2 linked regions of the Macaca fascicularis genome follow. The protein of the gene in region 2 interacts with the protein of the main gene of each other region in a biochemical or structural test. Links are inferred from orthologs where the notes say so. Each region holds a gene or a part of one and is shown on either strand. Other genes may lie near its edges.

Region 1 (6,464 bases), on a different chromosome or scaffold from region 2:
CTCCAGGGCCACATCATGTTGCCCAGTGCTCAAGCCCTAAGCACTTGAGGGCAGGGACAAGTCTCACTTATCTCTGTGCCCTCGGTACCTGGCACAATGCCCAGCTCATTCTATGGTATCCAATATGCATGTGTTGAGCTAAATTTGGCAAGTCAGAAGGTCATGGAGAAGGAAGCATCTGACAGGTTCTGTCTGTCACCTTCAAAGGGCAAGGACCTGAGTCCCCACCCCCACCCCAGGACCCACCTCCCCCCAGCCCCACCCAGCTCTCAGCGTCTCTCAGCGCTTCCTCTTCCCCTCATTTCTCTCTTGGACCAAGGATCACCCTGGGAGTGTCCCATACGGGTGTGCTGTGATGATGTGCCCTGCTCTTGCCCGATTAGCTTCCACAACTGCTCCACCTGAACCCAGGGCTCTGCACACTCCCTGGGCCCCATTACTCCATCAGGCCTGGACCCCCTCCCACCACACCCTCCTCACTCACCTAGTCTCCAGATAAAATATAGGATGCCCAATTAAATTTGAATGTCAGATGTACCTATACTAAAAGAAATTATTGTTTATCTGAAATTAAAATGTAACCGGTATCCTGTAGTTTTATTTGCGAAGTCTGGAAAGGCTACTTAGGCAGTGCCTTTCTACCAACCACAGTCTTCCCTTCCTCCATACCTGTCTTCCAGTCCCACCAGATCCTAAATGACCTTAGCAGCTGGGACCATTCACTAATTTATTCATTCACTCATCCAACACATTTTTATTGCACACCTACCAAGCGCCAAGCCATCTGCTAAGCATTGGGGTTACAATGACGGAAACATCAGACGTAGCCCCTGCCCTGTGGAGTTTACATTCTGGAGTGAACAGCAAAGGTGAAAGTGAAGAAACAAATAAATACAATTACTACTAAGTACAATCCATGCTATTATGAAAAGAAACTAAATAGAGGACTGAAATAGAAATTAGAAGAGGAGGGCTGGTTTGGACAGGGCAGTGAGGAAAACTTCTCTGCAGAGATGACACACAGGTGGATGTGAAGAATGAAAATGGGGCCAGTTCAGTGTGTGTGTGTGTGTGTGTGTGCGTGCGCGCGCGCGTGCGTGCGCACACTGGGGGAGGATGGGATTCTAGGCCCTACGGTAGGGAAAGAAGTTCGACTAGTGGGAAATGAAAGACTCAAGCACCTGGCCAATGATAAAGGGTGTAAGATAAGACTGGGAAAATGGGAAAAGTGCAGAATTACTCAGGGCCTCACAGGCTATGGTAACATTCCAAACACACACACATGCACGTGCACATGTGCACACACACAGCACATAGGCATGGGCACACTGAAAGCTTCAGGAGAAAAGAGATCATGAACTGAATGCTATTAAAATACAGTTCTGGTTGGTTGGTTGGTTGGTTGTTTGAGACAGGGTCTTACTCTGTCACCCAGACTGGAGTGCAGCGGTGCAATCTCAGCTCACTGCAGCTTGGACCTCTCAGGCTTAAGTGATCCACCCACCTCAGCCTCCTGAGTAGCTGAGACGACAGGCGCACGCTACCACACCTGGCTGATTTTTTTTTTTTTTTTTTTTTAATAAGTGAGGTCAAGCTATGTTGCCCAGGCTGGTCTGAAAGTCCTGGCCTCAAGTGATCTTCCCCAAAAGACAATTCTTCATACTTTCTGGAAATTGAAATGGAGGAGCTGAGGGTTGGCAGCAGGCAGGCCAGTCATGAGGCCACTGTGGAGTCCAGGTAAGAGAGGATGGTGGCTTAGAAAAACCAGGGCTATGGTGGCCATTGAGATGAATGGTGGAAAAGCAAGTGCATTTTGTGTGGGATCTGGTGGACTGGACGGTATATTGGATGTGAAAGGTAAGGCAGTACCAAGGACCACAGTCTTCAGCAACTAGAAAGATGAAGGTGAGGCAGGTTAGATTGGGGGTGACAGAGGGGAATCAAGGGTTGTCATCTGGATGCATTACGTTGAAATGTCTGCGAGGCCCCCAACAGAAGTGTCCAGGGGAACTGCTTCTGGGAGTCAGAACGCAGAGGAAGAATGGGGTTTGCCACCATACAGATGGTGTCTAAACCACAGAAATACGGCAGAGGGGATGGCAGTACCAAGTCCATGCAGCACTGGCTTTCCAGTCACTTCGAAGAGAAACCTGCCAAGAGGCCTGAGAAGGAATCACAGACAAGTCAAGAAGGAACCAGAAGGACAGCGCCACATGGGGGGAGCAGAAGGGAAAAGAGAAGGCCTCGGGAGGGGAGTCAGTTGAGTCCAGGCTGCTGGGAGAGGACGAGGGAGGCACAGAAGCGCTCCTCAGGCCGAGTTTCATGTGAAGAGCTGCAGTGGAGCAGTGGCTGGGGCTGAGGGAGGAAGTAGAGGCAGCAAGTGGCCCTGCTCTTGTGAGGAGGACGGCTGTGGAAGCGTCAGCGTGATGGACTGGCAAAGATGGATCCTGGAGAGGGATACTTTTAGAGATGAGAGGTAGAGCATGCTGATGGGAACGGTCCAGGAGAAAGCAGGGTGGGGTTGGAGGTCAGGAGAAGATATGAAGGACAGCTGAGGCACCCTCCCCCTCAGGTGCCCCCTCTCCCCCCCCACCGCCCGCCTTCCTCCCTCCACAAAGGCGAGGGAGCCATGGCCCTGGGACCTGGACCCAGGCTTGGATGGAAGGCAGAGGCCCAGCCCCCGCTAGGGTGGAGAAAGCCGTGGAGGGGAGGACCTGCCTTTGCTCTGGAAATAGAAAACCAACACTGGTAACTGAGTAACTCTCGGAGAGGGGTGCAAAGGCACTGGCAAAATCTGAAGGAACACAAATAAGCTGTACCGCTTGGGCAGCGAGGTGGATCGGATGTAGGGGGTGCAGCGGCCTGACCTGCAGGGGCCACAGGGCTCTTCCCAGTCCTGCCTGACCACAGCCAAAAGCGATGGTTCCTGGGAGGCAGAGCATCACCAAGAAAAGATCAGGCGCTCAGCCCCAGGCCGTCAAGTCCCATTTCCTCTACCCACCGCCACTGCCTGCTCCGACTGCAGCCTGGCGCACCACCCGGACGAACAGACGGACGAACAGACAGACGGACAGACAGACAGAGGCTGGCCTCGCAGCCTCCGCCAGCAGAGAAGGCCTGCGCGTGGGATCCAGCAAGGCCAGTGCCCTGCCTCCCTCCAACCACCGCCCACCCTTCTCTGACCGCGCCAGCGCCGGATCCCATCTCCCCTCCCACACCCCTCCCACCCGCAGGGGGCAGCCTTTACTGCCATCCTCTCTCAAACCTCCCTCACCTGCGGCCCCAAAGCGCGGGCTACACACCTGTGCACCCCACGCACCCGTGCACCCCCACACACCTGCGCGCCCCACACACCTGCGCACCCACACACCTGTGCATCCCTCACACCTGTGTACCCACACACACCTGTGCGCCTCACACACCTGCGCACCCCCTCACACCTGCACACTCCCTCACACCTGCACACCCCTCACACCTTTGCACCCCAAACACCTGTGCACCCCCACACCTGCGCACTCCCTCACACCTGCACACTTCACACACCTGCGCACCCCCTCACACCTGCGCACCCCCCACACCTGCGCACCCCTCACACCTGCGCACCCACACACACCTGCACACACTCTCACACCTGCGCACCCCCACACACCTGCACACCCTCACACCTGCGCACCCACACACACCTGCACACACCCTCACACCTGCGCACCCCCACACACCTGCACACACTCTCACACCTGCGCACCCCCACACACCTGCGCACCCCCTCACACCTGCGCACCCACACACACCTGCACACACCCTCACACCTGCTCACCCCCTCACACCTGTGCACCCACACACCTGCGCATCCCCTCACACCTGCGCATCCCCTCACACCTGCGCACCCCTCACACCTGCGCATCCCCTCACACCTGCACACCCCCTCACACCTGCGCACCCACACACACCTGCGCACCCCCTCACACCTGCTCACCCCCTCACACCTGTGCACCCCACACACCTGCGCACCCCCTCACACCTGCGCACCCCACACACCTGTGCACCCCCTCACACCTGTGCACCTCCACACACCTGCACACCCCTCACACCTGCACACCCACACACACCTGCACACCCCTCACATCTGCACACCCCCACACACCTGCGCACCCCCTCACACCTGTGCACCCACACACACACCTGCGCACCCCTCACACCTGCGCACCCCCACACACCTGTGCACCCACACACACACCTGCAAACCCCCCACACCTGCACTCATGACTGGATAGCAGGCTCCTCGGAGGAGCTTTCTACCAGCATCTAGGAGTCCCTGAGTGACAGGTTGGGCTGCAGGTGAACACACTGCCCTCTTTCTGCCTCAGTCCCGCTGTCCTCCCTTGCTTTGGGCAGGGCCCCTGCGTCCCTCTCTGGCCTCACCCCTGTCCCCAGGCTCACCGCCAAGGTCGCAGGAAGCAGAGGTGCGTCTCCCCCTGCAGCAGACCACCCTGGCCCTGCTGCTGTCCAGTCCCCAGGCCTGCCCTTCTCCACACTGCGCCAGGACAGCAGGGCCTTCAGGGAAAGGAGGGGCCAGGCTGCAGGGAGTGGGGCTGGGCCTGCCCTCCTGAGGAGGAAAGGAAGGTGAGAGTCAGTGACCTGAGAAGTTTCCATGAACTCTGCCCATGAGGGAACAGGGGAGGACCAGGAGGCTGGGCCCCACACAGCCGGAGGGAGCCACCTGGCAAAGTGGTTTCCCTACCATCAATTTCTAACTGAATCTTGAGGTAAACAGACACACCGGACCTGCCCTGAGGAAGGAGGCAGGTTGGGAACTGCTTGCCACCACGGGCATTAGAGGAGCCAGAGGTATCTGGAGCAGGGGGTGGGGGTCAGGGCTGTGGACAGCCTGGCCGTCCATCCTGGGCAAGGGGAGATGGCTTCCCCAGGAAGGACGGTGAAGGCTGTTCCCATCCCCTCTCCCACTGGCGCTGTTAAGGTACGGTCCGTTGATGGGTAAACTGAGTGCGTGTAAGTGAGAGAGAAGGGGTCATGGTTGGTCTGAGGAAGCAACCAGTTCAACACCTCCAGCTGCTGACTCAGCTGCCTCCCGTCCCCAGCCCTCAACATCTCCTTCCTAAGCCGGTGGGAACAAAGACGCCGCCAGTTTCCAGTTGTAAAAGTTGGAGGAACAATCAAGAACAAAGATCAAGGCTTCACATTTTCCATGACATTGGTGCAGGGGCGGGGACACCATGCCTATCTGGCACAGTCCCCATTCCCCATGCCCTCTGGAAAGCAGGAAACTGCCATGTGGGCATGGGCAGTGCCAGCCTCTCCATTAGCATGGCGCCTCCCCTGGGTCAGCCTGGGTGGCTGTCTTGGCCAGGCCAGGCTGTCTCCACAGAGTCTCCTGAATTCAGGGTCCCTCAAGCCCCAGTTCCTCCCATTTCTGGGAGATCAGCCAGCCTCAGAGGCCAAGAGCTGGGAAGCAGGGAGCCCACCCAGGAGACCCCCAAACCCGTAGCACTGTACAGAGGTCAATGGTCAGAGGGAGAAGGGCAGGGGGACAGCAGACAGAGGACTGGAGGTAGGGACTTGGGGGTGGGTGGGGTTGTAGATGTGGTAAGGGAGCAGAGTTCTGGAATCCATTTGTAAGATGTCAAAGGGCAGCTGAGACTGGGCTGCTTCCCAAGGTATGGCTGACATTGACTAGTCTCCTTGTCCTCCCACCCCTCTGGCACCCTATTCTCGCAGCTTCTGGGGGAGATAGGCACGTAGTGATGAGTCCACCCAGGTAAACAGATGATGATACATCTGTTTAATGGAGTACTCTTCAGCTGTTAAAAGTGACATAAACCCATTGATGCTGGCGGAGAAAATGACCAAGGTTTATTAAGTGGGAAAAAAAAGGTGAAAAATGATATGTAGATTATGATACCATTTTGTTAACAATAAACCTAATACTACTACATTTGAATATGTGTATCTAAATCATGTAAGTAACTATATATTTGAATGTACTTGAAAGAAGTATACAAAGATAAATATGAAATAGTTAAAAGAAATTATATCTGAGATAATTTAGACTTAGAGAGACATCTGTATACGAATTTTTATAATAAGCATGTATGATTTTATAAGAAAGAAAGAAGGTGAGGGCAGAGAAAATGGTTTGGAACAATCCAAGTCAGTGGATAGATGTGGACATGCCAGGTACACATGCACACACACACACACACACATGCACATACATACACATGTGCACACACACATGCACACACATTCACACACATGCATATATGCACACACATGTACACACATGCATACACGTGCACACACATGCACACACCCCCACATCCACACACATGCACACCCACACACGCGCACACACACACACCAAGCACACCTGGCCCACCAAGGAGGGCACACCTAGTGAATCTGGCAAAACTTGGGCAGCACTTGGCTCAGGCACATACCCACAA
Region 2 (5,655 bases):
ACTGGCTTTCACAGAGGTTTGGGTTGGGTTCAGTTTTCTTCAGAAGAAGAACTTCAGAATGCACTACAACAGGAATATCATATTATAGATGGAGTAAAGGTAAATTTGTTTTTCTATACCAGACACATGTATGATATACATGTAGGTACTATTTAATTATGTATCAAATAGATCATAAATATGGAATGATGGGGACTTTGAGAGATTTGTAACTGAAGCTACCTTAATGCTTGTTAGAATGATGGGGTGGTAGGCCAGGTGTGGTAGTTCACGCCTGTAATCCCAGCACTTTGGGAGGCTGAGGTGGGGGGATCACTAGAGGTCAAGAGTTTGACACCAGCCTGACCAACATGGAGAAACCCCATCTCTACTAAAAATACAAAAAAAATTAGCCGGGCATGGTGGCACATGCTTATAGTCCCAGCTCCTCAGGACGCTGAGGCAGAAGAACCGGGGAGACAGGTTGGACACTGAGGCAGAAGAACCTGACAGATCGCGCCATTGCACTCCAGCTTGGGCAATGAGCGAAATCCATCTGAAAAAAAAAGAAAAGAAAAAGAATGGGGGGTGGTAGAGTAACCAGTTTATATAACACAGTGGACATAGCAGTCTACTTTTTTCTTTTTGTTTGTTTGAGACAGTCTCGCTCTTGTTGCCCAGGCTAGCGTACAGTGGTGTGATCTTGGCTCACTGCAACCTCTGCCTCCTGGGTTCAAGTGATTCTCCTGCCTCAGCCTCCTGAGTAGCTGGGATTATAGGCATGTGCCACCACGCACAGCTAATTTTTTTTGTATTTTTAGTAGAGATTGAGTTTCACCATGTTGGTCAGGCTGGTCTCGAACTTGTGACCTCAGGCGATCCACCCGCCTCGGCCTCCCAAAGCACTGGGATTACAGGCATGAGCCACCGCACCCAGCCAGCAGTCTACCTTTCAAGTCAGGCAAGCTGGGGCTGAAATCTTGGCTTTCCCACCATGTGATCTTGGGCCAAATTGATCTACTATTTTATTTTTAAATTTATTTTTAATGAGACAGGCCCTTGCTATGTTGCAGGGTGGTCTTGAACTCCTGGCCTCAAGCAATCCTCTTGCCTCAGCCTGCCAAAATGCTGGGATTACAGGCCTGAGCCACTGCTCCTGGCCTGATTTACAATTTTTAATTGAGGGTTAGGGAGTCATAATATCAAGAAAGATGGTAAAAGGAATTTGAGGAGAAAACAAAAGAACAAGGTACAAATAAAAACTGCCTGAGTTATTCATACTGATTCCCTAATAAAAAAGCGATTTTCAGTTTGAATGTTTTTGCAAACATTGCCTTTCCTTCCTTACAGTGCTTATTTTTTTCAGGTCCAGGTTCAAGCTCAAAAGCCAAAAGTTCTGCCGACATCTGATGATGAAGAGAAAGATTTTTGAGACCGCAGCCTATTAATAAAGTTAACATAACTGAGAATTTTGTCTAAATGTTTTTATTTGAAACAAATAGTTGCACCAAGCAAGAGGTTACTTTGCCCACTCCAAATTAAAACAGAGCACAACAGGGGCAAAATTTATTTGGCAGGATAGTTCCAGTATGTGAACATCCTCCTCACTGTGGTTGGGGTAACTTTACTCATATGCAGCTGTTCTTACACAAAATATTAACCCCAAACTACTAGTGTCACACAAAAGGAAGTGGTCTTGACTTTGTATGTGGGGCAGCATGTTCTATAAATGCTGAAAGGTGGGAAAAGCACAAACACAACCCACTCTTTAAAAAAACTAAGTAATTCAAAGTAGAATTTTCTATCTCCCCCCCATTCTCCAGTAATAAAAAGTAGTGCTGGGATCCGACACCCAGATTTGTTTTTTATCCTGACCATTTACAAAGTGTTCCCCCGTATGACTTGCATCATTAGGGTAATGGGTAATAGTTCATTCACTATGAAGAGACCTGTGTCTACTCCTTCCTCCTCTTCTTGCCTTCATGCTCATGTTCCTTGGGGCGGCTGCTATCTGAGGGTCTTTTAGAGCCACCATGCTGTTTGGCTTCTTCCAAAAACTTGTCCAAACCAAAAGGATCTTCCTCAAACTGAACTGGTCCTTCTCGGCCTCTCTGTCTACGGTCTGAACCAGAAAACTCCTTGTCGGGAACAAATCTAGGGAAAAAGAGAAAAGACTATGAACTACTTTGCTTTCACCAGTGTAAACACTGAAATTGAGTTGTATGGATTGGTACCTGTTGGTTTTTATTCTGGCTTCTAGATCATCACCATACATGTCCTTGTCCAGATTTTTACTGGGCCTATAAATACTCTGGGCCATATCTTTACCACCTCTCCAGGCTTGATCATAAACATTATAAATTTCATCTTCTCCACCTGCAAATCCACTGTCCATACCCTGTGGAAAAATGGATGACATTAAATAAAAGTGTAAACACTTTATCAAAAGCTGAATCATAACATGTTTACAGTAAACCCTTGCTAATTTGTAGCTCACATTTTCAACAATCTGAACTGCAAATTAAAGGTCTTCATTAAAAAACTGCTAGCACATAAACTTCATAACTTTGGATTCTTTTTTTTTTTTTCTTCAGACGGAGTCTTGCTTTGTCACCCAGGTTGGACTGCGGTAGCGTGATCTTGGCTCACTGCAGCCACTGCCTCCCAGTTCCAACGATTCTCCTGCCTCAGCCTTCCAGGTGGCTGGGATTCCAGGCACGTGCCACCACACCCGGCTAATTTTTGTATTTTTAGTAGAGACAGGGTTTTACCATGTTGGCCAGGATGGTCCTGAACTCCTGACCTCAGGTGGTTGCCTGCCTTGGTCTCACAAAACGCTATATAAGCTCACTGCAGCTGCAACCTCCCTGTGCTCAAGTGTTCCTCCCACCTCAGCCTCCCAAGTAGCTAGGAGTACAGGTGTGTGCCAACATGTCCAGCTAATTTTTTGTACACAGGGTTTTGCCATATTGCCCAGGCTGGTCTTAAACTGGGTTCAAGCAATCTGCCTGCCTAGGTCTCACAAAGTGCTAGGATTACAGGTGTGAGCCACAGTGCCCAGCCAGAAATATTTTCATCACAATTTTTAAATGTTTTAAGCTTAAGCTTCTAACAGGTGATTATCTTGAAAATATTTTACTTACGTGAAATTTCACCCCTAGATCCCTTTGCTCAGCTGGTAAGCTGCCTTTGTATAGTGGTTAAGAAAGCTTTGAAATGCGCTGGGCGCAGTGGCCCACGCCTGTAATCCCAGCACGTCGGGAGGCCAAGGCGGGAGGATCACAAGATCAGGAGTTTGAGACCAGCCTGACCCAACATGATGAAACCCTGTCTCTACTAAAGATAGCCGGGCGTGGTGGCATGTGCCTGTGATAATCCCAGCAACTCAGGAGGCTGAGGCAGGAGAATCCCTTGAACCTGGGAGGTGGAGGTTGCAGTGAACCAAGATGGCGCCACAGTACTCCAGCCTGGGTGACAGTGAGACTCCATCTCAAAAAAAAATAGTAATAATAAAGCTTTGAGATCAAGACTTGAATCTTAATTCCATCAGTCACAAGGTAAACCTGTGTTTCAATTTCCTCATCTATAACATGAGAGAATAGTATTATTTCAAAGGATTTTTGTAAGAATTGAGATAATAACAAGATTTAGAACAATGCCAAGAATATAAAATGCACCTAATAAATTATCACTTAGAAGAGCTTACTTAAAACCTCCAAGTCATAAAGTTTCCCACTCCACTTTCCAGTAGAACTTACACCTTTGTATTCTTACCGTGTGTGTGTGTGTGTGTGTGTGTGTGTGTGTGCACGCACCCGCCTTGTGTTTTCCCAGGCTTAAAGTGTCCTAGTTAGCTAATGGCAATTGGTACTAGAAATCAGATTTCCTGACAGCCAGCCTAGTACTTTAATCCAGTTTTACAGCTTCATTTTTAAAAGATTCCCAAATTGACATATTTCTATAGCATTAAAAAAAAAAAAAAAACCCAAAAATGAACAACAAAAAACCCAAGAGGAACTTTTGTAGGACACTGGCTCTATTTTATTTTTTTGAGATAGAGTCTCAGTCACCCAGGCTAGAGTACAGTGGCACAATCTTGGCTCACCACAAGCTGAAGCAATTCTCGTGCCTCAGCCTCCCAAGTAGTGAGGATTACAGGCATGCACCACCACACCTGGCTAATTTTCGTATTTTTAGTAGAGCTGGGGTTTCACCACATTGGCCAGGCTGGTCTCAAACTCCTGACCTCAGGTGATCTGCCTGCTTCGGCCTCCAAATGTGTTGGGATTATAGGCAAAAGCCACCGTGCCTGTCCTCCCTGGTTCTATTTTAAAAACAAAAGATTGACATACCACAGCACCAAGTTGTTTTTTTTTTTTTTTTTTTTTTTTGAGACAGAGAGTCTCGCTCTGTCGCCCAGGCTGGAGTGCAGTGGCTCAATCTCGGCTCACTGCAAGCTCCGCCCCCCGGGTTCACGCCATTCTCCTGCCTCAGCCTCCCGAGTACAGCACCAAGTTTTTAATCAGCTAATTTCTTTCTTCTCCTAGTGTCTCAAATTTCAGTCCACTGTAAGAAGTTAAAATCAGAACTGTTTCATCTTTCTTGTCTCAAGTTTCAACATACAACTTCCAATTTTTTTGTCATCATGCTGGCATTTACATCCAAATATGAAGTATGGTAATTTTCGTTTCCCTGAGGATAGGTATTCACATCAACACAACAATATGCTTTCCTAAACTTGTACCTTGGATTGGTTGAAGAGCCTTTGGTCATACTGAACTTCATTGGAAGTCCGAGGATTAGGAACACCGAGAGCAATGACTTCACTGATATCCCGATTTTCATTTCTCTGAAGTTTCGACCTATTTTGAAATACGACATCACTAACTGAAAACTCTTTATAGACAAACTGAGTATGTTCAATAGAAATACAACCAATCTCAGAAGCAAAGGACATGAATATGTCACATTCACATCTTGAGAACGTATATTCCTTGATAATACATAATCAAGTTGGCAGCCCTTATAAAGCATTTCAGATTAGAGGGAAGAGTTTTACAATTAGGACATCCTGTTAGCTCAAAAGAACATCTAACAGATTCGTTGACATGGAATTCTTTAATATAAGCAATCACCTTACAACCATACTGAGATATAAAATTGCTATGGTCTATATTTACTATCATATGATGGTTTGGGGGTTGGGGAAGTGGATACAATTTAGATGTAGCACAGGAATCATTTTAAATAAGCTAGAAACAGCTCTTTTATCTAACTACATTTAATAATTTTATCCCACTAGAATTTTGAGGAAAACATGTCAATGACTGAAATAGTTAGTATGATTTTTGACATTCAAATTAATTTGGTTTCCTGGCTGTTTCATTATACATGCAATCTATATCCCAATGAAACCATGGTAACTGTCATTACTTATTTTACTAAAAACTCAGGTCACAAAATGATTTCTACAGGCTATTTGATTTTCATCCAGTTACAATTTTACAGCTTTTCTATGTTGTCAATTCTGATGGCCACTTTACTGGTTTTGAGGGCCCAATTTATCCACAGAGCCATTGTAACTTTTACAACTTAGGAATTACTAACCAAGACTGTCATTAATTAAACACTTTCACACTTTGCTCCTCCTTCTACATGTACGTTACCCTCAACTCA

The links. The genes of interacting proteins can lie anywhere in the genome.
Region 1: the proteins of SNW1 (region 2) and VDR form a complex in vitro, tested with the Homo sapiens proteins (2 studies listed by BioGRID, with this or other methods). The link is inferred for Macaca fascicularis from reciprocal best matches to the Homo sapiens genes SNW1 and VDR.

What each region holds. Positions count from the first base shown.
Region 1 is NC_088385.1:54,686,093-54,692,556, forward strand, and holds the start of VDR (vitamin D3 receptor), read right to left. Parts: upstream 4,537-6,464; 5' UTR 4,441-4,536; intron 1-4,440.
Region 2 is NC_088381.1:145,672,303-145,677,957, forward strand, and holds the end of SNW1 (SNW domain-containing protein 1), read right to left. Parts: intron 4,842-5,655; coding exon 4,724-4,841; intron 2,378-4,723; coding exon 1,910-2,377; 3' UTR 1,449-1,909; downstream 1-1,448. Other genes in the region: SLIRP (SRA stem-loop-interacting RNA-binding protein, mitochondrial), read left to right, coding at 1-99, 1,346-1,411. UniProt on the Homo sapiens protein: Involved in pre-mRNA splicing as component of the spliceosome. As a component of the minor spliceosome, involved in the splicing of U12-type introns in pre-mRNAs.